4 linked regions of the Drosophila melanogaster genome follow. The protein of the gene in region 1 interacts with the protein of each later gene in a pairwise test. Each region holds a gene or a part of one and is shown in the gene's direction. Other genes may lie near its edges.

Evidence for each region.
Region 2: the proteins of scyl (region 1) and CG17739 interact in a two-hybrid assay, tested with the Drosophila melanogaster proteins (one large-scale study listed by BioGRID).
Region 3: the proteins of scyl (region 1) and CG42709 interact in a two-hybrid assay, tested with the Drosophila melanogaster proteins (one large-scale study listed by BioGRID).
Region 4: the proteins of scyl (region 1) and Jon65Aiv interact in a two-hybrid assay, tested with the Drosophila melanogaster proteins (one large-scale study listed by BioGRID).

What each region holds. Positions count from the first base shown.
Region 1 is NT_037436.4:11,249,274-11,257,741, forward strand, and holds scyl (scylla), read left to right. Parts: upstream 1-3,033; 5' UTR 3,034-3,617; coding exon 3,618-3,687; intron 3,688-4,429; coding exon 4,430-5,202; 3' UTR 5,203-6,899; downstream 6,900-8,468. UniProt on the Drosophila melanogaster protein: Inhibits cell growth by regulating the Tor pathway upstream of the Tsc1-Tsc2 complex and downstream of Akt1. Acts as a cell death activator during head development.
Region 2 is NT_033778.4:12,303,673-12,311,880, forward strand, and holds CG17739 (uncharacterized protein), read left to right. Parts: upstream 1-2,855; 5' UTR 2,856-2,881; intron 2,882-3,606; 5' UTR 3,607-3,615; coding exon 3,616-3,793; intron 3,794-3,886; coding exon 3,887-4,275; intron 4,276-4,328; coding exon 4,329-4,790; intron 4,791-4,846; coding exon 4,847-5,018; intron 5,019-5,082; coding exon 5,083-5,204; intron 5,205-5,268; coding exon 5,269-6,567; 3' UTR 6,568-6,740; downstream 6,741-8,208. Other genes in the region: salto, read right to left, coding at 1-92, 151-385, 456-785, 850-1,229, 1,293-1,453, 1,548-1,799, 1,857-2,199, 2,259-2,326 and 1 more; CG30203 (uncharacterized protein), read left to right, coding at 7,053-7,218, 7,274-7,665, 7,724-7,936, 7,991-8,208.
Region 3 is NT_037436.4:12,788,308-12,796,191, forward strand, and holds CG42709 (uncharacterized protein), read left to right. Parts: upstream 1-1,884; 5' UTR 1,885-2,075; intron 2,076-2,910; exon of another isoform or gene 2,911-3,127; 5' UTR 3,128-3,273; coding exon 3,274-3,326; intron 3,327-5,508; coding exon 5,509-5,693; intron 5,694-5,754; coding exon 5,755-6,008; intron 6,009-6,073; coding exon 6,074-6,349; intron 6,350-6,489; coding exon 6,490-6,781; intron 6,782-6,855; coding exon 6,856-7,017; intron 7,018-7,150; coding exon 7,151-7,305; 3' UTR 7,306-7,777; downstream 7,778-7,884. Other genes in the region: Atg1 (Autophagy-related 1), read right to left, coding at 1-67, 234-321.
Region 4 is NT_037436.4:6,036,212-6,041,598, forward strand, and holds Jon65Aiv (jonah 65Aiv), read left to right. Parts: upstream 1-2,943; 5' UTR 2,944-2,984; coding exon 2,985-3,241; intron 3,242-3,318; coding exon 3,319-3,877; 3' UTR 3,878-3,924; downstream 3,925-5,387. Other genes in the region: CG6462 (uncharacterized protein), read left to right, coding at 900-1,859.

The sequences.
Region 1 (8,468 bases):
CACCTGCTCGTTTCGGCGAAACATTTTGGCAGGGCCTCCCCCTCCTGGAAAAAGCAAAAAAAGAAAAAACAAAAACAAAATCAACTTGTTCTTGATAATTTTCTTGGGTTCTGCACACGTTCAACGATTTTCCCCGCACTCTCTTTTCTCTTATTTTTTTTTTTAATGAAAATTTATGCATACATATGGATATGGGTGTGTGCCGGTGTGAAAATGTGTTGTGTTTAGTAAAACTAATTTAAATTTACAAATTGCCTTCGAGGGGGCCACAAGAGCGAAAGCCAAAGCCAAAGCGTAAACTTTGTGAAAATTGCTTTCCCGGAAAAGCGGAGAACACACCGAGGGAAAGTTCTCTATACATATGTGCTGCTACGGCTGGCCATGTATCGCAAAGTCACAAAGGAAACAGTTGGGAAAGTGGATTTCAATCTCACAGTTGATTGATTTACCTTGCGAAATTGTTCAAATTTAAATTTTCTACATTAAAGTCATTTGTGTACTGTTTATGAATAATGGGATGGGGAAAACAAATTGCAATTGAGTAAACGAAATAAGATACTTAACTCAATTGAAAGTGGGCGATACTATAAAGTGAATTAAATAAACCTAATTAGTAGAGGTTTATATTTTCTAAATTACTAACTATATTTTCTACATCTTTTTTTTTGTTGTTGAAATTATAGAAATGACTAAACAAAAGGCGTCACCAGCTATCTATTGGCGAAAATAAGCAAGCATATGCCCTATAAGCCAATTTATACCCGTATATATCTGGGTGTTGGCCATAAATTTCGCTGATCATTAACCCATGAAAGTCGTCTGTTGGCCGACCTGAATCACAGTTCTTTGTTGTTTATTTTTTGAGAGGCTCGTTTTGGCAGTTTGTGGATTGCCTGTTTCTAATCAGCTTGTGGGGGAGGCGGCGGCGGCTGGGGGTCGCATTTCAAAGATTGCGAAATTTCAAAGAGTGCTCAGGTTTATCAATGAATTTCAGTTTCAGTTCGGTTCACTTCGCAATGTGACAAAGTCAGGGGCCAAAAGTCAAACAAAAGAAGTTCTCGTTTCAATTCATTTATTATCTGACAAAACACATCTACATAAAGCTAATGTGGCACGAAAGATATCCCAAAGATACACAGATACAAGCACATATGCGTGCCTCATGGAATTTCATTTCAATCTGAAAGAAATTTGATTTTATTTATTTGAGCCAGCATCACCAGAAGACAAGTTGGATTTCAGCTTTTCTTCTTGAGTTCCTTTATTTTTTTTTCGGGTGGGCAGGGCATTCATGAGATACATTTCAATCTTTCGTTTTCAATCTACGTGCAGCATTTTCAGCTTTGGTCAGCAAACAACAATGCCGGCTAAAAGCGAAGAAAAAAATAAAATCACCATCAAGATGAAGATGGCAGGAAAATGCATTCAATTGAAAGGAAAGGACACACAGCCATGGATCATGATATGAATATGAAATTATGCCACATCTCACATTTTCATTTGCTGATGAAATTCTCCATGAATTCATAAGAACAGCTCCTCGAAATAAACGGATGTGCGAGTTTCATATCAAAGAGCGAGCATAAAATTGAAATTATGATGAAATTCGTCACTGGATCGAAAGAAGATGTTTATAGATTTAACACGTTACTTGTGGCAAAATGAAAGTTCCTGGAAAATTATTTTATATACGGAAAATTTGCATATTTGGAACAAAGTGGAATGTATAATTCGTAATGATAATATGAAAGAAATGCATTTAACGTAACATTACCAAATGTAATGATATGTAATGAAATGTTTCACATTCAGCTTTATCAATAAAATACGCACAGATTAGATAAGCAACAAAGACAGCAATCATGAAATATATGTTTTTGTGAAATTAAACATTTGTTAACAAAGGATTTATTGCATTTTATTTTATATGTGCTCCAGTTTCGCCATATGTGTAAGAAAAGTATATATTTTATTATTTAGTTTTTTTTTAGTAAACAACAACCGGCCTCAAAATTTAAAATGTAAATTTTCAAAGTAGTCATTCTATAAAAAAAGCAAAATAAAAGCATAATAAAATAATAGTGGCCTGATATTTCACACCTATTCCAGCTCGTTTTTCAAATAAATTTGCTGTTTTATGGAACCAATTTACTACCAGATTAGAATAATTTAATTGATTACATTTTTTGAAAGTCATTATGGTATAAAAATAGAAGAATTTTATGAAATTGAACCGAAATTTATTTTTACGAATAACCATAAAAACGGGCACAGAATATTTTATTTTATTTTATCAGAATGTTAACTTCGAGCGTTACAAACAAACATGAAAACTAAAAGGAAATGCACACAGGCAGCGCTTTTATTAAATATTTAATGGAAGTAACGTTTGCACAAAAACTTTGATTTAATATTCCTCATAGGGATTTTCCTGCGACTTGATGGGTTTTTCTCTCGAGATTTACTTTTTTGGTTGCCGAAGCGCGGCGAGCGCTGTAAAATTTGCATTCGCCCGCTTCCGTGGAAAAGGCGAAAAGGAAATTCTGAAGATACATTCGTATCTTGTAGCTGGTATCTCTCGTATCGTTTCGTATCTTTTTTTGCGGCCTGGCAACAGCCGCTATTTGCAGCATGTTGCAACTTGCAACTGAGTTTTCGTTTTCGGAGTGGAAAATTTTTTTTTTAGCCTGCCAGTAATGCCGGGGTGGATTTTTGTTCTTGCCTCTTTTTCAATTCACTTCGTTCCATTGCATTTGTAGTTGTTGTTGTTGTTGTTGCTTTATTCGTTTCCTTGCGGGAGAACATTTCCAATTTTCATCCTTTTCGTGGTTTTCTCTCAAATTCGGGGTTTTCTTTTCCTCTTTTCGCGTCACGTACGCCGTTTGTTATATCCCTCTCTCTCGCGCTCTTGCGCTCTTGCGCTCTCGTGCTCTTTCGCCGGCATGAGCGCGCATGAGCGAGACGGCGGACGCAGAGATGAGTGAAACAGCTGTAGCGTCGATGAGTATAAAAGGCGGGCGCACCGGCGAGAAATTCATAGTAGCTTCGAAAAAAACACTGAACACAGTACACAAGAAAACAGACTCTCGCAGCCAGAAAATCAAATGAAGCAGCAGCAGCAAAAACGTGCATAGCCAGACTTTTTCCACTGCTAAAATTTTACAAATCCAAAAAGTTCAATCATTCAACACTGTTTCACGAAGAATTCTATGCTACTGACGTTATATTTTTAAACTAAACTAAACATTTAAATTTGCCATCAAACAAATGCAACGGACCAACGCCATTTAAGTGATACAACAAAACAAATAAAAGTTTAAACAACATAAGTGCTGTGATTTCCACTACAAAACAACAACCAACCAACCAACCAACCAACCAACAACAACAACAACAAATGTTAATTTAAACTGCAACCAGAACGTAAAGAGGAAGAATTTAAGCAATCAGCAAGAAAACAAACAGCAAATTGTGATAAATTAAATAAGCTTAATTAAATTGTAAAAGTGATATACAAAGAAGGCGACAAAAGCCGTCGGAAAATTGCGAGCGAGCGAGCGAACGAACGACTTTCGATTCGATTCGACTTTCCAAGCCAACAAAACACAGAAAAACCGATGAAAATGGATGTTATTGCTCGGGAACAAATCATCTACGGTAGCCTGCAGGGATCAAACAAAAATAAAGGTAAGTGTACCGAAAATTCGGAGAGAAATTTGTGTCTATAGGGAAGAATCGGGAAAGTTCCAGAAAGATTTTAAAACTTAAAATAAAACATGTGTTTCCCAAAATGCAGTCTACTTTTATCAAATTTGTGTATAAAGCGTACATATTTTTAAATGTTTTTTGAATACTTAAACTGTTCTTGAACTTGTGTATAATTTAAATAAAAAAAAAGATGAACAACAACTGCTGTACAAAGCTCCTTGAAATTTCATCAGCAATTAACTTTGTAATTTACATTTACACAAAAAAATGCATAAAAAATCAATTTGCAATTACAAAAAGGAAAAATGTCATAAAAAATCATGTTAAATTGTTCGTCACGTACGCAAATTGCAGCAACAACAAAAAACTCCCAGCAGCAATAAAAAAATGATTTTTCGTTTTCTTTTCGTCTCTCTGGCCCTCCGTCTTTTTTAACGTTGCTTTTGCCTCTGCTTCACGTTTGCGTGCTGCGCTTTGAACTCTCGTTCGCTGTTGCCAAGCGGCTGTTTCCTCATTGCCTAGTTGTTTGTTTTTGGCTTCCGTTGCGTTATTCCTAATTTTTGCCAGATGTAGCAATAGAATTTAAGAGGTGTTTTAAGATTGACTAGTAACATTCGTCACTACATTTTTACACTCTATGAAACTTAATAGTATTCTACCTCGTTTTATTACCAAAACCTTTTACTAATCAATCGTTTTTCCTCCTTTTCAATCATTCCAGATTGGACCAGCAGACTGCCACCGCCGTCGGCATACACTCTGGACCTGATGTCCAAGAAGGCCAAGACGACAACCGGGGGCAGCAGCAATGGCAGCAATGCTACCGCCACATCCACAACCACATCCACATCCAGCAGTATTAAGCACAAGCAGCCGGCGGGCAGCAGCAACAACAATGTTGGCCAAAGTCAGAGCAAGAAGACAAAGCCCAGCGGCAGCTATAATAGCAATAGCAACTACTACTACTACGCTGCTGACGAGGAGGAGGGCGGTAGCGCTGACTATGCACTGAGCAACTACGATAAGAAGGCTGTCGAGGAGCTGTCCCTGCGATTGCTCGACGAACTGAGGGCGGCCAAGTCGCGTCATTTGACCTGTACGGAAGTGTCGCTACCCTGTGATCTCACGCCGAGCGTGGCCCGGGAAATAATCCGCGTGTCGGAGAAGGAGCCCCGCGGCATACGCGGCTGCACCATCTACATTGAGTTCGAGGATGAGCCGAAGAATTCGCGTCGCATTGCCTCGATCAAGGTCGATTCGGATACGGTGTCCACATTCGAAGTGTATCTGACCCTCAGGCAGGATCATCGCGGCTGGACGTCGCTGTTGCCGCAGTTCATGAAGAGTTTGGCCCGCACGATCACCATCAGTCCGGAGTATACGATCACCAAGAATAAGCTATATTCCGCTGATGGTTTGGGTGCACGCAGGAGCTATAGCTTCGGCAGCCACGCCCATAGACCCAGTGCGGCCATCGCCACGCCCACCAACTAATGGTGATCAGCTTGATCTGTCAGATATGCATATGTTCGTATATGTGTCTGCGCGAAACAAAAAAAACACCACCCCTGTGATGATCGAGAGCAGTAGTTTGTTGCAGTTTGAAGTGCAACAACGAAGCAAGTATTCGAAGCCACCCCACCTACACCACACACACACACACACAAACACCTTTAATACACACATACATACACACAAACACACACACACACACACACATACACATTAGGTTACGCCAACCACACTCTCATACTAATACTATATATGGGACCGTAAGGCCCGATTTTTGTAATTGTGACTCTCACCACCATTTTACTTAGATGCGTAGTGCTATAACAAATAACTAGAGTTTTAAGTTGTTTCTCCTTTTTCAAAAACGCAAAAGCAAGAAAAACAAAACAAGGCGACAAGAGCGGAAGAAAAGTAAAGAAAAAAACCAACATGAAATTCAAAGACGACAGCCCCACGAATCAATCCCCAGAATCATATTTCTGGGGCATTCGCTTTGGGGCTCGCCGGTCGACAACTCATGAATATGTGATACTGTTTAAGATGCTAAGAGTTTTTTGCCGGATGCACCAAAGTCCGGCAAAAGACGTTGATAAAATTACACATAACACACAACACAAGAAAATACAAACACACACACACACAAACACGCAAACACCCCATACACAACAAAAACCACAATACAAAAGAACAGATTTTTTTTTAAAAATTGTATGCTATATAGTAATAAACAAAGAAACCAACAAAACAAACAAACTTGATCTTGGTAAATTTAAAATTTAACTTTAAAACTGAGAGAGATGAGGGCCTCGAACTGTGAAAGAGGTAGATGATCACACGCTCCAATTTTAGTTAGACGCAGCTTGCTGCAATAAAAATTTTTTAAATTATTAATTAATATTAATTAAAACCAACAAATTTTAGGATTTTAACAAATTTTTATATATTATTAAATGTATAGCGCGTACTACACAAAATAAAAAAAATAAATAAAAACACAAAGAAAATCCACAACAAAAAAATAAAAACGAGAATAAATTAAACTTAAAAAAAAAATCAAGCATAAAATTTAAGGCAATGAATATCTCAGTAAATGTGAAAGCGTAAAAAATTTGTAAAATTTTTTTGTCTGTGTAAAAACTCCCAATGCGATATGAAAACAAAAACTTAAATGTAGCTGCAAAAATAAAATCAACAAATCGTCAAATAAAATGTGAAAATTTAATTAAATGCAATGCGATATAATTTGTAAAAATTACAATTAACGTAATGAGGAAAACTTAATGTTCTCACAAATACATTAACACACCATTCACACATCCACACCAACATACAAACACACACGAAAGTATCTATTACCAGCAAAAAGTATCTATCAAAGCGAAAAACCTATTTATTACAAAAAGAGAGAGAGAGAGAAAGAAATAAACAAGCAAAATACGAAAAAAATACATGTATTAATTTTTTATTATTAAACAAAAAAGAAAAAACAAAAATATATTGTATTTAATGTTAAGTTTTTTTTATTGCGTAAAACAACAAAATAATTGTGAGAAATTTGTAACCAAAACAAAACAAAACAAAAAATGTGAAAAAAAATCCATACCACACATACAGAGCGAAAAACAAAGGCAAAAAAAAATTACAAAAATAAAAGCATATAATTTTTCCTGCGCTAGCGGAAAATAATTGTGGAAAAAATTAAAACAACGGCTTTCTTTTCTGCCAGCACTGCTGGATCCCAGGGGCGCTCCAATGGAGCCAAGGGGGTGGAGAGAGGGTGTGGGGCGGGCAGGGGCGGTTCAGCTTGTTGCGGGTGCAACTTTCTTTCAGCAGCCACCGAACCACTGAAAAGCGGCAACGCCGCTTGCCGCACAACCCGTTACTGCCACGGCCATGGCAACTGCACTGCGAGAAACTCTGCTCTCTAAGTGGCAATGCGGTTAAGTTATACACTGAAAGAAATCAATACCACAGGAAAGCGAAATACGTTCAACAAAAGCCAATTTCCATTGAATTCATATGAACATGAAATTGATGTTTTAGTAACAAATTGAAATGCATCAATTATATTATAACTTATTTTTTATTATTTTTTAAACTGAATAAATTTATTGAGCACATAACTGATAATTGCAGTTACAACCCGATTTCATCTTGAAGTTAAAATTATTTTGGTGGATAGTTCAATCTACATAGATCTATGCATACTTGAAGCTTTGCTATATAAAAACTATTAACATTGAAAATAATTGGTGGTATCATCCGGTTTTTTTGAGTGCACCACTGCAGTAGTTACACAAACGGCAACGGCAACAATCGCTGCCTCGCGATCAGCAGTGGAAGACAATTGGGCAACCAGTTTGGGCTAGGCTTACCAACTTGTTGTTGGGCTGCGATGGGTACTATGAACTTGGCTGAAAAGCGGCAACGCTGCAATTGGCCAAACAGGCTGATGTTACCCCCAACCAGAAGTGCAGGAATATGAATAAATCACAAAGGCATGGGCTTGACAATAATTTGCCATAAAAGTAATCTTTAAAGGTCAAAATATGCCAGAGGTTTTTTTTATCTCAAGCTCATTTATAGAAGTCCGTGCTAAAGTTTTAAGTACATATATATAGATATAGCTTTTAATATATATTAAGCGTTATTTTATTAAAGATAAAGGCTCAAGCCTGAACTTTAACCAGTATATGTAACTTAATTGGATTTTAATTGGTAATTGGATTTTAATTAAATAATAATATAACTGATTGTATATCATATCCTATATAATGCATCATAAATCATATTTTTAATGATATATCTATCATATCTACCTATATCTATCTATCTATCATTTAATATATTTTCTATAAAGAAACTAAACTGTGATTGTTGTACAAGTGTACACCACTTAATATTCCCAACAAAAACAAAAACCACACTGACAAGGACTATATCAATGTGTATTTCAAAGATATTTCACAATTCGCCTACCTCAATGAAAGTGATTTTTCCTTTAATTCGCATACGGACTGTAATTGCGGCAAGACGTGTGCCATATTTCGCTAGAACATCGAGTGTAGAAAGTCATTTAAAATGCTGTCATTCTTCTTGTTATGTCGAACATCTAGCATCCACCTCAAGTCATTACCAAAACGAAAAGGAAAGCGGTCCAGGGGGCAAAACCGCCAGGCATTTTGACAATTTCTTTTTTGTTTTTGGACCAATTGCGATATTCGGTCATTTCCCAGAATAGAAAGTCG
Region 2 (8,208 bases), on another chromosome or scaffold:
TGCTCCTGCCTCCTCACTTCCCTTTGTTTGTGCGTGAGGGTCCCGTAGAGATTATAGAACTCCTCCTCCTTCGAACTCAGCTTGTTGTTTACCTGCGGGAGGAAGAAGGATAAGCATAAGCGAGGCTAGCCACATCCTTTTTCGGCGGACCTGATTGATAAGCGTTTCTTTCTCGCTAACTTGATAGTACATTTGGTCTAGTTTGGTGCGGCTATCCTCCTCATTCTTCTGCAGTGTTGCGATCAATTCGCTGCGAGCGTTCAGCAACTTCTGATCGATAACCATTTGCTCGCGCATCTTGGACACTTCCTTGCGCAGCTGCACTTCGAGCTTGGATTGCATCTCCAATTTGGCATTGGTAACACTTAGGGTCTCCCTTAGATCGCTGGTTATCCAAGCAAGAGATATGTTAATCAATATACATAATCTATGATACTGTTAACCAAGCAGTTTACCTTATCTGCTGTAGAGCTTCCTTATAGTTTCCACCCAGCTCTTCAAAGTCGGCATGCTGCTTTATTGTATTGGCCACCTGTTTGTTCATGACCTTCTTATGCTGCTCGAGACTTTGCAGCTGCAGTTTCAAATCGGCAATGATCAAATCCTTTTCTTTAACTCCCGCGTCCATGGCATCTGGACGCTGTTCCAGATGGACAATGAGCTCACGGGCCTCCTTCAGTTCGCCCTCCAGGTAATCGATGTGTTTCAAGTTCTTATCGACGGAATTTCGAGCCCGCTCCAGACCTTTGTCCGCCTCTTCCAGACGCTTAACCATTTGCTCTTTTCTAGATACGATATAAGGAAAGATCTGTAAGAACCATCATCTGCCGAGATGACCAGTTAACTTACACAGTCTTGAGCTTGGCTACCTCGGAGCGCAGTACCTCGATGGTGGAATCCTCGGTCAATAGCTTGGAATTGTTCTCGGCCAATCGAATGGACTGCTCACTGAGCATATCCTCGCTTCGCCGCAGGCTCTTTCTCAGCTCTACAATGATCTGATCTCGACTGGCCAGCTCCTGTTTCAGCTTGGCATCGAGCTCGATCCGCAACTGGTTCATCTGTTCAGTGTGCTCCTTCTGGGCGTCAAAATAACGAACCTCCATGGCCTGTTTCTGGGAACGCAACTCGGACATCTCGCGATAGAGACTTTTGTTGGGTGACTCTTGTTTGGAGCATGCACCGCACAACTGTTCGATCTCCTCGACGATTAAATTCATTTTTTCTTCCTGGAGACACAATAAAATAGTTTCACATTGCTAGTGCATCATAGCGGTTGCACAAAAACATACCACTAGGTTAGACAACTTTTTTTGAGTTTCCTCACGCTTTTCACTAGCCTCGAGATCATTTTTAGCCCTCTGAATTCTTGGTATATGGTCGTAGATTAACAAAACCCCCTGATCTACAATCGCACGACACCTGGTTTTCAAGTCATTCATACTTTCGGCGGCTAGAAAATAAAAGTATGCAATTGTAAGCGAAAGAAGGATAATTCAAGGATAACAATTCATTCAATCGAAGACGTAAAATCAAAACGAACTTACGAATACTCTTGGGCAATCGAAGTAGATCATCATGGTGGACCACAAGCTTGCATTCATCGTTTACAGTCAGACCCACAAACTTGAAGACCCCTTGATTCCGGAGCTCCGAACCCATTAACCGGATCTTGTGCATAAACTCGGACTGCAGGTTCTCCAGTTTTTTTTTCTGCGTATCAAAGACCCGCATCCGGTTCATCTCCAGGACACGGCGATGCGACATCTTTTCAGGCTTCTTTACATTTTGATAAGGTTCTGTGGACGGCAATAATCAGAGAATTGGACCACGTTTCAAATATTCGCGATACCCACCGCATGTCGTTGACTTAACCAATTGTGCTGACTGGGCATGCGTCTTTATGGGAACCACGTTCCGCTTGGGGGGATTCAACTCATCGATATCAGTTTTCCGATCGGGCTCAACTACTTTATGCTCGGGCTCGACCCGTCGATTGGGCAACGAATACGTACTGACACACGGGCGCGCTTTCGTCGAAGAAGTAACCCGTTCCAGAGAAGTTTTTCGCGAATGGATAGACGACCGACTCGCTCCACGCCTATTTGGAATGTGACTGAGCCTACCTTTGTTTGGGCTTCCGTCGCCATTCTGGGTGGGAGGAGTAGAGAAGACGCCACCACAAGAAGAAGTGCGAGACTGGGACGGGGATGTAAAGCATTTGAAAAAACTAAACCCTTTTCTTCTATCTCACTCACCCATGTAGCTTTGTCTGAGGCTTGCTTTTCCGCCTTTCCAGCTGTCCTCAGCAAGAATGCTTTGTTACCTAACAAGGATAACGAGCATTTGAAGCACACATTCGTATAGCGTTCAAGGTACATGTACTTACTACGAACTGAACGCGGCGTCACGCTGGAAGAATTCATATCTAAAGTTTCGGAAATCAACGCTTTTTTGTAAACGATTTTTGTGTTCAAAATGAGGAAAAAATAGTATAGAAAATTTGTTTCTAAATATTTCCAGTTGAACTACGTCTAGTGTAAATGGTACAAAAATGCTTTCTGACCAATCCAAACGAGGTGGTTCGTGGAAGTAACATGAATTCAAACTCAGAGCACACTTGTTCAGTTCCAATGTACCCGGTGTTTTTGGGGTCTGTTTGTTTAGAATGAGCGTATGAAAACTAATGGTTTCTATCAACAAATGCGAATCTGCAAAAGAAGCGGAAACTAAGCTAAATGGGAGGGAAAAGTAGAGAGCAGTTTTTCCCTCTCTGAGGTTCTCCATGTAATCCATTCGTCGGTCCCGAATGATGCACATCGTCCATCCAATAATCGACTCGGCGAAATTTGCATTCAGTTGCTGTTCGTGCGTCCACCGAGTAAGTTCTTAGTTCGGATTTCCCTCTAAAAGCATATATTTCGAGATTGTTTCATTTACGATCCATCAATACTGAGTAACAAGAGTATGAAAAAACAATCTGTACCACCTTGCTATTAGTTTATTTTCTCAAAATAACTTAATCAACTGGATTAACATACATGATGTGCTAGTGAAAGTGGGTGCTACAATATAAGTGCAGTACTGAGGTGAAGAAGCCCTAAAAGTGACTTTAATGATTTAGATCCATGGGAAATGGACGTTTGTCACCCCCTTGTATTCGAATTCGCTGTAGACAGTCGGCGCGTTTTTCAATTGAATTTAATCAGTGACGTAGACGGTCTATATAGTACAGACTATATATTGTATATACGCAATGCGATCCGATTTTCAAGGGGTAAACAACCAACAACCCGCCTAGTTCAAGTTCCGCATGGCAATTGAGCTGGCATAATTTGGATCTCAAAGGAAATGGAAAGTGTCTGCGAAAATAGCAATATGCACTATGTGTGACATCACGCAAAGTCATTCAATTGAAGGCTATTTCTACGAATTCAAGTTCAGTTTGAAACTGGAAGTAGGCTCCATTGGTTGCCATTGACATTCGATACCAATGCGGATAATTAAGACAATTAAGTGCTGGCCAGAAATAGTTTTTTCCCCCACAACCACGTGGCTGCATCAAATGATTGTAAATTTGTATTCCCACTCAATTTTGCATTGCAGCTCTTTGAAATGAAAGCTCTGGAAGGTTTCACTATTCTTCTCGCATTAGTGGGTGTTATTCCCCGGATCGAGGGCTGCATTAGGGTCCCACCGGGAGTCACAGCAGCCAAGTCACCGGTGGATGATAACTATGTGCTGTCCGTAAACGGAAATACGCAGAGTTATGTGCCCGGTCAAAGGTATAATGGTGAGTGCATTAAATTAAGCATTAAATTAAATTAAATTTACAAATTTCTAGATTTTTCTTTCAATTCTCTAATCTTTCGCTGCTCGTTTTCAGTTAGCCTCAGTGCATTTTCTGGCTTGTCCTTCATTAGCTTTATGCTGGCCCTGGATTTGGAGAGTGGTGACGGCGATGGTGACGCCAATGCCCTGGGCACCTGGGAGATCGCCGATCTCGCCGAGACCCGTTTCAGTCCGCGCTGCCCAAATCTTGTCGAGAATACCAACACGAACGTGAAGACACGCGTGGATGTGTTCTGGGTGGCTCCATCGAGTCCGGGACAGGGCTGCATCCTGCTGAGGGCTACGGTGATGCAGCATCGAGATGTGTGGTTCATGGATGATGGCTTCCTTACCAAGCGTATGTGCGAGGAGGAGGTGGACGACATTGACACCCAGCCCAGCATCGTGGATCCGTGCTGTGCCTGTGACGAGGCCAAATATGAGGTGGGACTCTTTTAACTCATTATTGAAATGGTATTAACACCTCCTTACTTCAGCTTACCTTCGAAGGCAAGTGGTCGCGTCACACACATCCCAAGGACTTTCCAGCGAATAGCTGGCGCACCAGATTCAGCGATATCATTGGTGCCTCGCACACACTGGACTACAGATTCTGGCAGTATGGAGAGCTGGCCAGCGAGGGGCTGCGTGAGGTGGCGGAGCATGGCTCCACAAGGACCTTGGAGAGTGAGCTGAAGGATCAGAGCGAACACATTCGCACGATCATCAAGGCAAGGGGCATTGCCTATCCGAATGTTACGGGCAAAACATTTGCCGTTTTTCGCGTCGACTCCAACCACCATTTGATCTCCCTCGTATCAATGGTGGATCCCTCTCCAGACTGGATCGTTGGTGTATCCGGCCTCGAGCTATGTCTGCCCAACTGTTCCTGGGTGGAGAACAAGGTGCACAACCTATATCCCTGGGATGCGGGCACCGATAGTGGTCCATCATATATGGTAAGACGATTTCCATGATTTAGTCTTCAGTAGAGTCAATCACGAATACTTTTCAGTCCGCTGACCAGCCACAGGTGCCTCCAGATGTTGTGCGCCGCATCAAATCAAATTTCCCCAACGATCCCCGTTCGCCCTTTTATGATCCCACTGGTGCCCAGATGAAGCCATTGGCCACCCTGCACATCAATCGAAGACGACTCTACGAAAAGAACTGCGAGTCCTCCGATTGTAAGTTAAATGCAACCATATATTGATGTTGTGAATATACATACTATATACTTTAATCCTGTAGCGGAACAGGTACCGCCGGAGTGCGCCACAAACTCGTGGTCCAGATGGGATGAATGCACCACAAAGTGCGGTCCCGGCAAGCAATACAGAATCCGAGAGTTCAAGAACCCTGCATTGGCTTCGGTAATTAAGACGACATATATAATTTGGATCCCATACTATATATACATTTTGACACCTACCTTAGCGTCATCGTTGCAACAATGCCCTGCGTGAGGAGAAGAACTGCGTGGGACACAAGTGCGCTGGCTTCAATGAGGAGACAGCTGAAGGCGGCGAGCCGGAGGTGGCGCCATCACCAGGTAGCAGCGACGATCCCCAGTGCGGTCTGTCTGACTGGTCGGAGTGGTCTTCGTGCACCGTGACTTGTGGAACCGGCGAAATGACCCGATCCCGACACTATCTAAACAAGAAGGCCAAGAAGAAGTGCCAGAAGGCAAGCAGGGCGCGTCTGCATGAGACCAAGATTTGCGAGGCAATGGAATGCGGTGGGGACATCGAGAACGAAGGTGGTGCTGGGGAACCGGAGGAGGAACAGGCCGGTGGCGACGGAGGTGGATCCGCTGAGAAACGCTCCATATTCCGCAACTTCGAGAGTTACAGTCAGCATCGGGAGGATTACATACCACCGGTTTGCGGGGTCACTCCATGGTCGGATTTCTCGCCGTGCATGGGGCCATGCGGTGGACATGGAAAGCGGCAACGTATTCGCAAGGTGTGGAATAACAACCAGGTGTACGGAGTAACGGATCCCAATGATGACGGCCAGGATCCCTGTCGACACATCAAGCTGCACGAGGAGGTGAACTGCACCAATCCTAGCTGCGATACCATTGTTCCCGGCTTCTGCTACGACGAGCTGACCGACAGTCCGTGTCGGGATAACGATGTGGCCAACTTCTGGTACTACGACCATGTGAGTGACCAGTGTGCCATCTATTGGTCGGATCGTTGTGATACAAATCGCAACAAATTCAAGTCGAAGGAGGAGTGCGAGGAGACATGTCGCCTGCCGCGCCACAAACAGGAACTGCAGCACGATGGCATTCCAGCCATTGATTGTCTCGTCTCTGACTGGGTTTCCCACAGTTGCAACGCCTCCTGCGGCGATGGCTTCCAATTGCGAACGCGTCGGGTGCTCCGTACTCCGAAGTATGGAGGCAAGCCATGTCCCAAGCACCTGGTACGTTTGGATCGCTGCTACCAGCGGTGCGATGACATGTACTCAATCAGTGGACGGGGATTTGGAGAGCGAAGGCATGTGGTAAGAGCTCCGCAACCGGAACCGCAGGACGAGTGTCGCTACTCGGAGTGGTCCGCCTGGACACCATGCACCGCCACGTGTGGCGATAATGCCGTTCGCCAACGAACCCGAACCCTAATGAACACCGATCTGAGCTACAAGTGCAAGGATCGCGTCCGCATGGAAAAGTGCGTGATGATGCCTTGCCAGCTGACCAGCAACGATGATCCAGAGCGGTGGTGAACATACCATTAACTGCTACAAGTATTAGTTCTAATCCAACTATGTAATCATTACCAATGGATATCGTTAAATATATGAAAAATTCCAGACTACCTACACTAGCTCTTCTCGCAACAGATTAAATATGTATTAAAAACAATAAAACAGAATTGTGTTCGCGTGGTAATTCCAATTCCGATTGAGTTTAACCTTGACCCAGTTCCATTAAGCAAACAGTGGCCAGTTTACGAGTGATTTTTCGCCGGGTTGCAAGTTCAAAGAACCCGGGCACAATTCATCAATTGAAAAGCTTGCCATAAAAACAAACCATTCCTAATTGAAGACAACTCAATCAAGATGCCATAAGCTGTCAACGCCGAGAGCGCCATTTAAGGGATAATTGATAAATTGGAAATGCTCATCAATTAATGGAGATGGCTAGCCATCAGTTTTGGTCAGTCGCCGTTGAGCCTCGACCCAGTACGGATCGCTAAGATTGAGAAGAGATGCTTCGCCATATCGTGCTCCTCATTCTGCTGTCTTCCGAAGTCAGAGGAGTCTGCAATCGGATACCCCAAGGTGCCAGTGGCCCTCGATCGCCTGTGGATGATAACTTTAAGATCCTTATCGATGGCAATCCAGAGACCTATGTGCCAGAACATCAGTACAATGGTGAGAGTCTCGAGTTGTCCTGAAGCTTTTACTTCAACATTATTATCATCATAAGTTTCGTTATCCTGTCCAATAAACATGAAATTCGTGAGCTTCACCTTGGTGGTCGAGGCTGAGGATCCGTCGGCTGCCTTCGGTGGTCAGGATATGACCGGTCACTTTGAACTGCTGGGAGTCGGAGACACCCGATTCAGTACCAGTTGTGAGAACATGGTGGAGAACACAAATACGAATGCCAAGATCTATATCGCGGTATCCTGGATAGCACCACGTAATCCGGACAGCGGTTGTGTACTGATTAAGGCTGGTGTGGTTCAACATCGTGATGTGTGGTTTCTGGACGATGGCTTCCTGACCAAGCGGATTTGTCCCGAGGAAATCGACGAACTGAACAGCTTAACACCACCCTTGGAAACTTGCTGTGCCTGTGATGAAGCCAAATATGAGGTTGGAATATCTTCTCAACTCTTCCTAATATTGTGTTTAAAATAATCGTATCTAATAGATTGTTCTGGAGCGAAAGTGGGCAAGGAACACCCATTGGAAGGACTTTCCCTCTGAGGACTGGCGCACACGCTTGGGCGAGGTGATTGGTGCTTCACATAGCCACAGCTATCGCTACTGGGCCTACGGAGGAAGAGCGAGCAAGGGCATGAAGGAGTTGGCCGAGCACGGAGCTACACGTACCCTTGAGAATGAGATCAGGGAGAATACTCAGGTAGGTAATCAATTTTATCGCATTAAATCCACTTCATCATGGTGTTTCTAACAGAATGGCGAGGTGAGAACTATAATAAAGGCTCCTGGAATTCCCTATCGTCCGAAAACATTTGGCACAACCCTGGCCAATGCTCGTCTGGATCCAGTACACCATCAGATATCGCTAGCAGCCAAGATTGATCCTTCACCCGATTGGATACTGGGCGTGGCTGGATTGGAGCTTTGCTTGAGCAATTGTACGTGGCTGGAGCGAAAGGTCTTGAATTTGTA
Region 3 (7,884 bases), 1.5 Mb from region 1:
AAAATGTTTTGTGGCTTGAGATCACGATGCACAATTCCTTTGGTATAAAGTGCTTTCATAGCACCAGCTAGAATTGGGGAAATGGAAATAATGGTATACTTTAACTTCCGATCTTCTGATATTTAATTATAATACATTTCGTTGTTCTAAAGTAATATTAATGTTACAATTTATATTGATCTTTGACAATTATTAGTTAGGGCTACCCCTTATATAGGATTTTCGAATCTCACCTAGTTGCACGAGGAAGAGTCTAACGGTATCCTCGCTGAGCGTCCCCTTGACACTCAGATAATCCGCCAAGTCGCCGCCATTGCAATACTGTAAAGAGAAAGGATGAAGAGCGTGAGTGGAGCTGATTGGGAAATTAAATTAAGAGAGACCCCCACGAGTCAAGAGTTCAGCGCGCATATAAATCTTCTGGGACCCCAAAAGACCTCAAAAGCAGAATGCAACCCATGCAAACGAATTAAGTCCAATCAGTGCGAAAATGAAAGAGTCCCGAGATTTGATTCAGTCGGTCTTTCCATCTTTTAGCTTCCAGCTGCTCGCTCGACTTTTGTGCAAATCCCAGTCAATCATAGAAAACGGCAAGGTCAAAGCGAATATGATTTATGGCAATTTTCTGAATCAAGAACTGGAATTAGGGAAATATGTTTATGGATCAGCCCAGACAGCCAGCTGCTTTTCTTTTGTCGTTTGCCCAACAAAGGTTCTGTTCCGGTTTATGTCAGCAGATGCGGAGAAAGAGTTGGGGTAAAAATAAGCTATAGAATATTGAATATGCTAGGGGAATTTACACTTGGAATTTTAAATACACTTCCATGTAATCTTTAATCTTTGAAGTAAAGCACCAGTTAGGTTTTTTAAAAATGCCCGTTCACTGCAGTGATTTTTCCATACTCATTTGAGAATAATTAATAATTTTCTCTTTTAATATATAATATAATATAATATTATAATAATAAGCCATTGATAAAGTATATGATAGTGAATGCTAAACAAAAGGCAACAAAATGTTCAAATAAAATATAAACCTCTAAGCATTCGAAAACAGCAAAAAGGAATATCAGTTATCATGAAGAAGTTTTTGAAAAACTTGAAAATGAAAATAGAATATCCCGATATGGGAGAACTTTGTAAGCAGCCCTCGCTAAAATGTAAATGAAGAGAACGAACCCCTGTCTCTCCAAAATGCCGTTATATTTTTGGCCTGAGCAAGTTGCCTAAAAGGATTTGCGATTTTTGACCTTGAGGCCGCCAATCGAAGACATGACTATAGAATTCCACACGAACACAACCACCAAAAACCAACAAAAGTAATGTGCGCGGCGAACATTTTTATCCGCTTTTATGGATTTTTTGTTTTTCATGAGAAAATATATGGACCACTTACAGTTTAATGAGCAAACAAAGCAACATTAGGCAATTAAACAGCCAATTTGAAATGACAAAAGATTTCACTGCACTCGCTTTTTGTGAAATCGCTAAAATCGCCGAAGAGAAGCGAAGAGCGAAGAACATTAAACAAAAAGTCATTGACATGTAAAGTACATAAACATAAACATAAAAGTAAAAGTTTGAAGGAAATGGTGGAATACTCGCAACGAAGAGGGTTTTTCTTCCTCTGGGGCTTTTTAACAATTTCTAAATTATATGCAATGCCATTTCCCGGCAACAAGTGCCCATGAGTCAGCGATTTATTGAAAAATGCACTTGCGTAATTAATGGGCTTCTCTGTTTTTTCTTTCTTTTTTAAATATTATTTTGAAGAATCAAGTGTGAAGAGAGCGATTCGAAAGCTAAGAGAAGACTCTCTTCAGCCGCTCTATTTCAACTTACTCAATTTTTAAGCTCGCAACTTCTGCGGTTCCGTTCGCAGCTCATTCTCAAATCGACGGTGGCATGAGTCGCACGTTATCGCGCGACAACAAAAAGCCAAGTTAGCAAATCATTAAGTATAATTTAAACGCGATACTCCTCCATTCAGTAGAATTCGATGAGAAAACTCTCTAGTGTAATACCCAATTTAGTACATATATTATCGAGAAAAACGACGACGCGTGTCATTCGAAGTAAGCGCAGTGGACTAAAGGTCAACATATTCTAGGCGATAAAAAGAACGCTGCTGCTATACATTGTTCATCGCAATCACAACACAAAGACCTAGAAACGGGATTAAAACAAGAGTTTAACTTAGCACTCGGTGAAACAAATATTCAAACAAACTTTTCACTCAAATCACGTCCAATTTAATCGCTATGATTCAGCCAGCCAAGTGTTTCACATTTTTCCAGCAAATTATGTAAATAAACTGTGAAAGCTTCCCTTTTTTCATATCAAAAGGCGGGCCGACCGACTTATAAGTCAAGTCCAAAGCAAAGTTCATTACGATCGGCGTTAATTCTAATCAGACAAGTGTGTAATTAATTTTATTAATATTACAAGCCGTCCTAAAGATTTCTTTGTACTTCCAAATCTGCTGCTTAAGTTATTATGTTGAAAATATGGCAATTGAAATTTTAATTTCTAATGTGATGTAATGCTTATTAATTAAGATAGGATTACCCAAACCGATTAGCCTTTATTTACGGTGCTTAAAGTGTGAGTTTGCTCTTTCTGTTTTCATTGAAAACATGAATTCCATAATTGTTACTATTGATAATAATCGATTAGTAAGTCAGAAGTTGGTTAAAAGCTAAGCAGAAATCGCGAGGGTATGAGACAAAGCAATTAAATATTAAAAACTGATAAGATAACCACGGCTAAACATTAAACTTAACATGAGAGAGTTTGGAAGAGAGAGTGAGAGTAAAGAAAAAGAGATAATATTTGCCGCTCTTCGAAGCTCTCACACACACACCTGTTCAGTCAGTCGAACGGAATGGGAATTGTTGGCGAATTTTTGCTCATTCGAGAATCGGCAGCGAGTGGAAAAGTTTGTGCGAGCGGAGTGAAAAATAATTATTTTACTTTTGCCAAAAGTAAGCCGGCAAATGTAAATGGACATTAATCAACTTTGAAGCTGTAATTTCAAAGCAAAACAGATGAATATTAAAAGTGCAAAGTGAAACGAGAATAGCGGTGCAAAAATAGGCCCCTAACACCTAATAAAATCTATTTTCAGCTTGAAAATTTTCACATCAAGTTTGGCAAAAACGACGAAAATGCTATGAAAACCCTGAGATAAACACAAATACAAACAACACGACGCCTTGAAGACGCAGTGAAAACAAAGCTAAACAAATATCAGTAAACAAATAATTCATAATAATGCACGTGTACTACAAGTTTGGATTACTGCTGATATTTTTGCTAAGCGTGAGGTAAAAATCAAGTTGTAATAAATATTTACAGATCTCGATATGTGGAGAAATCACATTTGTTATTCTTATGGGGCTGGAAAATAAGTAATCCATTTATTTATAGAAATCAGTAGACCCTTTCCTAAAAACGAAAAACAGGGAAGACACGGGGCAAAGTTTCCGTTTAGCAACATTCGCAGTGATTAATTCACTAAAAACGAAATAACGACAGGTGAACCAGGGTAACGGGACTTTGACCCGCCCACAACTGAGATATCAATGCCAAATGGAATACTCACGCATGGGGTTATAAAAAAAAAACAGCAACATTTTATTGATAGTCCACGGCAACCGCTCTTAATTGCCGCCTTTAATATATATATAAGGTGCACGAATTTACACTCTACTTAATCATATCGCATAATCTGGTTCTGATAAAAATAATAACAATTCCCCGGTTGTCCGATAATTTATACCGTTATTGCTTATCAAATTGTTTGCTCAGCGTTTTGAATTTCTCAACCAATATCTCAAGCAATATTGCAAATGACATAGAAATTTATAACTGTCTCGATTTTCAGATTTTTCTTTTAATTTACAACTGAAACGAGGTTTAGACATTATCGATTATGTATAAATATTCTATATTCTTGCCCTAAAAAAAATCTTTTTAAATACTTCTGAGTTTTAAAACCTAAGATAAAATTCTTTAATCGTTCTTTGCATGTTAGTACTAGTATAATTTTCCCAGTGCACATAAGCCCATTTCTCTATTGATTTTTGGGCCTTTTTAAACCTTTTCAGCCACTCGAAATCAAATGTCAAAGTAGAGTGCTTTTAAGTGCGACGCTTCCAATTTTAGTCACTTCATTCAAGTAGTCAAGGGAATTACGTCGACTAGGTCGTCATGCTTAGTAACAGTTTAGAGATCTTTCGTAATACCCATTAACTTCGGCGAGCAGCTGAAGCTTGAAGGCAATTCGTAACGTTCGATAAATATATCTTTATTATCCGGTAGGACTATATACCAATTAATAGCTACATATCAGCACTTGCGGTTCAAGTACTCGACTCTATAAAGTCGTTCATTCTGTTCATTTTGGCACTTTTAAGGATTGACAAGGCTCCTCAGCAGCATTCATTGAAACTTCACTCAAAAGTCACGCAATTGAAGAGAACTCTACATGGCAGTCAAAAGACTCACTTGAACTACTCTACTAGCCAATTTACACCTTTTTTTCTAAAAGTAAATACAACCCACTAGAACTGAAGTCGCCGAATGCACGGATAACGAACGATTTAGAATCAGACAAAAAAAAAAATGAAGAGGGGTCACAAATGACAGCAAAAAAATAAAATAAATCTGAAAAAAGTGAGAGTAAACGAAATCGTAAACTAAAACCGGTCGAGTTGTCTCTTTTGCCATGAAGTAAACTGGTTTCATCTGTGCTTTTTACTGAGTAGCTACAGTACGTTTCGAAAATGTAAGGTCAGTTAACAGAAACAAATAAACAACTTTACAGACAATAAAAGTGCTTGAGTTACAATAAAAGAAATGTGTGCTTTCTTTATTTTCTTTAGCTTGAAAGTATATCTATTTGATTTTACTTTATTCTTAAAAAACGAAAGGCAAAATATATTTTACAATATATGCATAATCTAATGAATTGCATTAAGAAGCCTTGTATCATTGAATACTTTTAATTCATTTAAGGGCTATTGCTGTGACCACGACTGTAGCGAGAAATACTTTGTATGTAGGCTTGTTCGCACATGTGAGTGTATTCATTCATGTTCTTTCGCGGAGCAAACATAAACAATAGCCGTATAATGATAGTGGGGAAAACGAATGTTTCTGTGTGGCTATGGCGTGGTCATAACGATATGGGTCAAGAGCGTTTTCAGGACAAATTAGCTAGGTGTGTTCGCCTTCAAGACGTGAGTGATGTAAGCACGTACCGCTTAGAACCCACCGACAATCTAAAGCCAAATATTGACAATTTTGGGTATTTGGTAAAACCACTTAACGAATTCGTACAGTAATTGCTCTATCAGAAATGCGCATTCGTTTGACATATAATTGCCCTGCGTTTTTCTTCATAAGCAATGTGAATTCGTTTATAAGTCGTGGAAAAAACCAAATTGGTATATTGTTGGTTTATTCAGTCGAGACCGGAAAATAATTTAATGATTACTCTTACAGCATCAGCCACACAAATGCCGCTCCAGCGGGCAGTGAGGAGGCAAATCCCCTCGAGGACTTTAATTACGGCGATGATGACTACAGTGAAACAGCGACGGGCGAGGAATCGCCGGAGACAGCAGAAAATAGACTGATGCCACAATCATCCTCCACATCGACCACCACCACATTTCGACCAATATTTAGTGAGCATAACATAAATCTATATATTCCGAACTGAAAAGGCTAATGAATATCGTTTTGCAGATATACCACGACGCAGCAACCATGTCCTGGAGCCCAGTTGCCCGCGCAACTGCCTCTGCCTGGAGGACTTCAAGTTCGTTCAGTGTGCCAATGCCCATTTGACCCATGTACCCCTGGACATGCCCAAAACGGCGGCCATCATCGATCTGAGCCATAATGTGATTGCCGAACTGAGGCCGGAGGATTTTGCCAATCTGTCCAGGGCGGTGGAAATCAATTTGAATCACAATCTGATCAGCAGCATAGACAAGGATGTAAGTGCCCAGCTAATTCTACTAATTAGATAAATTGTAACTAATGTGCTTATTATCTATTGTAGGTCTTTCAGGGATCGGAGCGTTTGAAGCGCCTGCGGCTGGCCAACAACCGTCTAACCAAAATCGATCCCGACACCTTTGCGGCGGCCAAGGAACTAACGCTACTCGATTTGAGCAACAACACCATAACCCAGCGCCTGGACGGATCCTTCTTGAACCAGCCCGACTTGGTGGAGTTCAGCTGCGTCAACTGCAGCTGGACGGAACTGCCGGAACAGACGTTCCAGAACATGAGTGGCCTGGAGGTGTTGCGCTTGAACAAGAACGATTTTAAACAGGTAAGAATGGCGAGCCAAAAGTGCGATAGCACAAGTTATCGCTCTATCGATAGTTGGCGCAACTGAAGCCAAAACAGCTGTGTTTGCCATCGCGCAGTTGTCTATATAGTTGTCCCGCTCACGCTTTTCCATTCCGACAGCAAATCAATACGAAAGCTTTCTCGCCGCTAACAAAAATAATTAAACTGAAGCTGCCGGAACTGGAACAACAGAACATCGAGGAGCTGTGCAGCCTGCTGACCTCCATCGACACGATTAGCTTCCTCAACTACGACATCAGCTGCTACGAATTCGTACTGGGCACCCCCTTCAACGGCAGTCTCATCTATCCCACGGAGCCGCCGCTCAAGGGGATTACAAATCCGCCCATCGTCGCCAGCATCACCAGCACTGCAAAGCCAGTGACCGCCACACCCGCACCGCCCAGAAGTGGTGAGCTATTTCCCATGACTCGTAGATCATCTTGCTAACGTGTCTGTTGCTCACCTCCCATTGTTCGCATTTAGCCAATCGCAATCGGGGCAAAATGGACAACAGCACGGAGCTGGTCAAAGCCGGAATCCTGAGCTCCGAGACCAGCACAAGCGGAGTCAGCGTGGAGCCGCCTGCCGAGAGCCAGACCAATCAGGTGCAGATCTCCCAGGAGGCCATCAACACGCTGCTCATCTGTGAGTACAAACTGCGGTTTAAGGTTTATAACATCAACTATTTTAAGCATCTTGCTAAACAGTTATAGTTTGAGTTATACACCTTTTACTTGCGGTACAAAACCAGACTAATTTGTTCAATTTAATCCACTAGGCATCATGGTTCTGGCCGTGATTGGCATCGTCATCGGACTCATTTGCCGCCAGGATATTGGCGGCATCAAAACCAAATGCTGCCGCACTAGCAAACCAGAGCCAAAGGATCAGGTTCATCCCACTGAGGAGATACCACTGAATAAGCTAGCCTAAGAAAACTTTCCAAAACAAACCGAAACCAAACGATCGAAGATGAAAAGAGAATCCTATCCTTCTCCTCCAGTTTCGAGAACAAATTCCATTTTGACGGCATTTTTGATAGATTATAAATAGGTATATGTATATCACGTATGTATATGGCTAGTTAGTTAACTACTTTGACGCGGTATCTAGCCTAACTATATAGTCTCTCCTACAATGTTTCCCGCACAACAACTGAACCGAATCCGTTGTTAGATTCTAGTTGTTAGTCGGAGTAGGTTAAGCCGCCTAGTCGCTTAGCGTTCTGTTCTTTAGGGGGACTCGGTAAATGGGATCCCGCACCAAAACTCCTGGCACTGTTCTAGTTTTAGATCCCAAAATCAATTTTCATCGCAACACTTAAATTAATGTAAACCCATAGATACACTAGTTGTTAGCTTTAGACTTTTGCCAAAATACAATAAAAGTAATTATTGTACATAGTAAAAAAAAAGAAAACCATTGTTTTGAATTATGAAACCAAAAGATTAAAAAGATTACATCTGATAGACTTGATTATTTACCTATATACTCTCCTCATATCACATTCCT
Region 4 (5,387 bases), 5.2 Mb from region 1:
ATCTACTCTCTTACCGTTTAATGAATCAGATTTCATAATAACTCTTATAGACTAACTTAATACACTTCTGGCTTTTGATATCGCCAAAGTGGGTACTTTATGATCGGTGACGAAATCGGGGCCTTGGATTGTAAAACCCCACAGCCATTCAACTCCAGGAAAATTATCAATGGCCTTTCATGTGTCGAAATGCAGGCGAAGGTGTGCAGTAAATTAAACAAATAATAAACTAAGCGTTGATAAAACGACAGTCAATAAATACAGAGACCCCGACCCAGACATTCTGGCCAATGTTGGGGGCTAAGACTGAAATCGTGCAATTGAGGACCCGGGAAAATGGGGGGTTCGAAAGCAATTAAGGAAACTGCAGTATGCCAAAGGGAGACGAAGGCCTAGCCTAAGCAACATAATCGCCAAAACGTGCGGCAATTACACGGTAGCTGGAGGAATTGAATGCCAAACATCTGCTGCTCCTCCCGTCTCCGTATAATTTGCACTCGGCCCAAGCAAATTCAATTAACAAACGATGCGGACACGTGCCGCATCCAAGTCGATGACGCAATGTCGATGCCACAATCGCTGACTATAAAAACACCAGCAAATACAACAACAAGCCCAGTACTTCACGTGAAGAGCCCACTCAGACCTGAACTTGGACTAACTCATTACGAGGAACATCAGCTATATATATAATATATGTAAATAAAAAGGCAATTCATTCATAAATTTCATTCAACATAATGAATAGAGTTTCCTATTCACATATTTAAGGGGGGGGGGGGGGCGGGGGGTATTCTATGAATTTGGTCAGAAAAAGGAAATATTACATTTAAAAGATATAGTATAGAATGCAATAACAGGTATTCCCCATATTATTTTTTCAATTCCGTAGTGATAAAATGGCGCAATACCAGGCTACAAGTGCTTTCTTCCTGCTACTTCTATCATCCACACTAGTTAAATCAAGTGAGCCTTGGCTAGATACTTTTGAGCACCCCAAAGAGGAGACACCGGACGATGACGATGCAATCATGGAAAGACGTTGGCAGCTTGGCTACGAAAACTTTCGACTTCGCTGCGAAAAATTCGAGATGGAAGGTAATCAAACCGCTGCTGTGAGAACTCGAATAGCTGGAGGAGAATTGGCCACGCGCGGCATGTTTCCCTATCAAGTGGGTCTGGTGATTCAGCTGAGTGGCGCAGATCTGGTCAAGTGCGGTGGTTCCCTTATCACTCTTCAATTTGTTTTGACTGCAGCCCATTGTCTGACCGATGCCATAGCTGCAAAGATATACACGGGCGCCACCGTATTTGCCGATGTAGAAGACTCCGTGGAGGAGTTACAAGTCACGCATAGAGATTTCATTATTTATCCTGATTACTTGGGATTTGGAGGATATAGTGACTTGGCTTTAATACGACTGCCAAGAAAAGTCAGAACTTCAGAACAAGTGCAACCCATTGAGTTGGCTGGGGAGTTCATGCATCAAAACTTTCTGGTAGGCAAAGTGGTGACCCTATCTGGCTGGGGTTACTTGGGAGATTCAACCGACAAACGGACGCGACTCCTCCAGTACTTAGATGCGGAGGTGATCGATCAGGAACGCTGCATCTGCTATTTCCTGCCAGGATTGGTTAGCCAGCGACGTCACCTGTGCACCGATGGAAGCAATGGACGTGGTGCCTGCAATGGCGACTCCGGTGGCCCCGTTGTGTACCACTGGCGCAATGTTAGCTACCTGATTGGGGTCACCTCGTTCGGCAGTGCCGAAGGATGCGAGGTGGGGGGTCCCACTGTCTACACCAGGATAACCGCATATTTGCCATGGATCCGACAGCAAACGGCAATGACCAACTAAATGCAATTAACGCCTAATTGCAGCCCATTAATTGCTAAACAATATAGTCGGCCCAGACAATAAAACCAATTTGAGCAATGAAACCAAAACAGGTTCTTCTGTCGAGAAAGGAAGGTGCAAATGGTCCATTTTATGTGTGGTTGTTTTCTCTTGAATGAAAATTGTTACCGATAAATAACAATAAACATTTCGGCATTGCAGAAGAGCAAGTCAATTTGGGGAGCTCAATAAGGGCACAAAAGAAAAATTACATTGCCATGGAAATTGCTGATGAATCGCCACTGAAATTGAAATCATTGGGTTGAGTGTCCGTTTTTGGTGAGGGCATATTGGGTACAGACCGCAGCGCCTCCTCCCGCTAATCGCCTTCAATTGGCCATCTGAATTGGCTATTAACCGCAGTGATGTGGTCGGTTGAACGCGTCATAAAATCACGCGGCTTTCGCTGATAAAGAAGGCTGCGGTTGCGAAAACAACTGAAATTTGCGTGTTTGTAATCAAAGAGAGAGTCCAGATACGCAATTGTTAGACGGCGGTATGATTTCCTATGAAGTTTAAGCAGTCTTGACCAACTCACGTCCTACTCCTTGACCTTTATCGAAGGTAAACAAACCCAACTAAACTGTGGGCTTACGGCTTCTCACCCTATAGACAGGAGATAAGATAGCACTCGACTACCATGGGAATTATAAGATACGCTGAAGAGCAAAGCAAACCTTTGCCAATTTTGTATCGCAATATATAGTTATGTATATATCGCGTATGTGTAAAACTAATCAAATTAATTAGCAACCCCATGCTAGGCCTTTGGTATCGCAGCGGCTCGATCTGGAAATCCACTCGAAGCCCATAGCCCTGATTAGATCCGTATCGGGATTAATACTCTTGGATTGGGAAAGTAATTTTGGCGACCGTGTGGCTGAAGTTCATTCATTCATATCTTCGGCACAAAATCTCAACAGATAAGGTAGTTCGAACCGACTTTAGTGGTCCTATCTAATCGGGACAGCTCTATTTCTGAATTGCAACCCAATCGCAGACGCGACTTGGCCAGTATAAAAGACCCCAGCTGGTCCTTGGCCAAACAGTTGAGTTCCCTTAACTGAACAAGCAACAATTCCCAAGATGAAGTTCCTGATCATCCTTGCCCTGGCTGTGGCCGCCTCCGCTTTCCCCGAGCCGGAGCTGCGCCATCGCAGCCGCGAGATGCCCGTCGTTGGCGACATTGGAGGTCGCATCACCGGAGGAAGCAACGCCGCCGTCGGCCAGTTCCCCTACCAGGTGGGACTTTCCCTGAAGCTGAGTGCTCTGTCCAGCGCCTGGTGCGGTGGTTCTCTGATCGGCAGCACCTGGGTCCTGACCGCTGCTCACTGTACCGATGGGTGAGTGTCCCTTGAAGGAATGCCGAAAATATCTTGGAACCAATGTCCTAACCAATTGTATGTTTGATTTATCGCAGAGTTCAGTCCGTGACCGTCTACTTGGGCGCCACCGTGCGCACCTCCGCCGAGATCACCCACACCGTGTCCAGCTCCGACATCATCATCCACTCCGGCTGGAACAGCGCTAACCTGCGCAACGACATCTCCCTGATCAAGATCCCCGCCACCTCCTCCAGCAGCAGGATCTCCGCCGTCAAGCTGCCAAGCATCTCCAACTCCTACTCGACCTTCGTCGGTGACGTCGCTGTCGCCTCCGGATGGGGACGCACCAGTGACACCTCCAGTGGTGTGGCTACCAATCTTCAGTATGTCGACCTGACTGTGATCACCAACACCAAGTGCGCCCAAACCTACGGCACCTCGGTCGTGACCGACTCAACCCTCTGCGTGGCCACCACCGACGCCAAGTCCACCTGCAACGGTGACTCCGGCGGTCCTCTGGTCCTCAAGTCGTCCAGCGAGCAGATCGGTCTGACCTCATTCGGTGCCTCTGCCGGTTGCGAGAAGGGCTACCCCGCTGCCTTCACTCGTGTGACCAGCTACCTGGACTGGATCAAGACTAACACTGGCATCTAGGAAGGAGTCAGGAACTACAATTTCGCTTAAAAATAAAAATCATTTCTAAAAAATTCAAAAGTTTTATAGCTCTATAGGGGGAATTTCGGAAACGTAGATCTTCATTTATAAATTTCTTTACTCAATATAGATCAAAAGAGAACTTATGTTCCCAGTTTGAGGGTCGTCGGTTATAGTAACAATCCATATCGTCTTGTACATATGCTTTTGTCTAAAATCAAAAATCATCACAAAACAGACAAATGAAAATGAATGCAGAACCAAGCTGTTACTGGCATTCGGCGAGTAAGTTCTCATTAAAATTCATTAAATTGCCAAGCGACACAATTTTTTTTTTTTTTTATTAATTTTTATTATTTATTGAATCTTCCCTTTGTGTTAAGAGACTAACAATAAGTGTTCAAATCTTAATCTAACTTAATTAACTTTCACTTAGTGATAGTTTTTTTTTTTCATTAATGCCCTAATAAGTTTATTGCTGGGCTGGGAGGTCGTTGCGGTGCAGCCGGCTTTGACTGCATACTCGGATTAGTTTTCTTGCGAGGGGATTTGTATGGGTGGTCAGCTTTTCGTTATACTTCGTTTTTTTCTCAGCTATTACTTCGATTACTAATTTGATTTTTAGGTCTCTGTGTATGTTTTCGTTCCGAAGGTACCACGGCGCTCCAGTGATAATTCTCAGAATTCTTGACTGTGCTCGCTGAATAATGTCTATGTTACTTCTGGATGCGTTGCCCCACAGCTCGGAGCCATAAGTCCAGATAGGTTTTAAGACGGAGTTGTATAGAAGAGCTTTGAACTCCAGACTAAGTGGAGAGCGAGCATTTATGAGCCAGTGGAGGTTCCTTGCTTTAAGTTTAAGATGTTTCGATTTGGCTTCTATATGTTTGCGCCAAGTGAGCCGCCTGTCCAGATGAACTCCCAGATATGTTACCTCGTCGGCTTGTGGAATGCATATGTTATTCAAGACCAGTGGTGGGCATGTTTGTTTGTTTAAGGTAAAGGTAACCTGCTTGCATTTTTGAACATTTATTGAAATTCTCCAGTCGGCAAGCCATCGTTCTACAGATGTTAAGTGTCGGGATAGGAGTGCCGTGGCTTTTATTGGGCATTTCGAGCGACTGAGTATCGCGGTATCATCAGCGAACGTGGAGGTTGTTAGATTGTAGTCTATGGGGAAATCCGCCGTATACAGGGTGTATAAGATTGGACCCAGTACACTGCCTTGCGGCACTCCAGCTTCGATTGCGCAATCGCGTGAAGTGCTTGTATCGCATCTTATTGCAAACACTCTGTTATATAGGTATGACTTCAGTAGCTTATGTGTGTTTTGGGGCAACAGCTTGATTATTTTAAACAAAAGTCCATCGAGCCACACTCTGTCAAATGCCTGCGCGACGTCTAGAAAAATGGCTGTGCAGTATTCTCGATGTTCAAAAGCAGTACGAATTTCTGACGTGATTCGGTTGACCTGTTCGATGGTTCCATGTTTTTCTCTAAAGCCAAATTG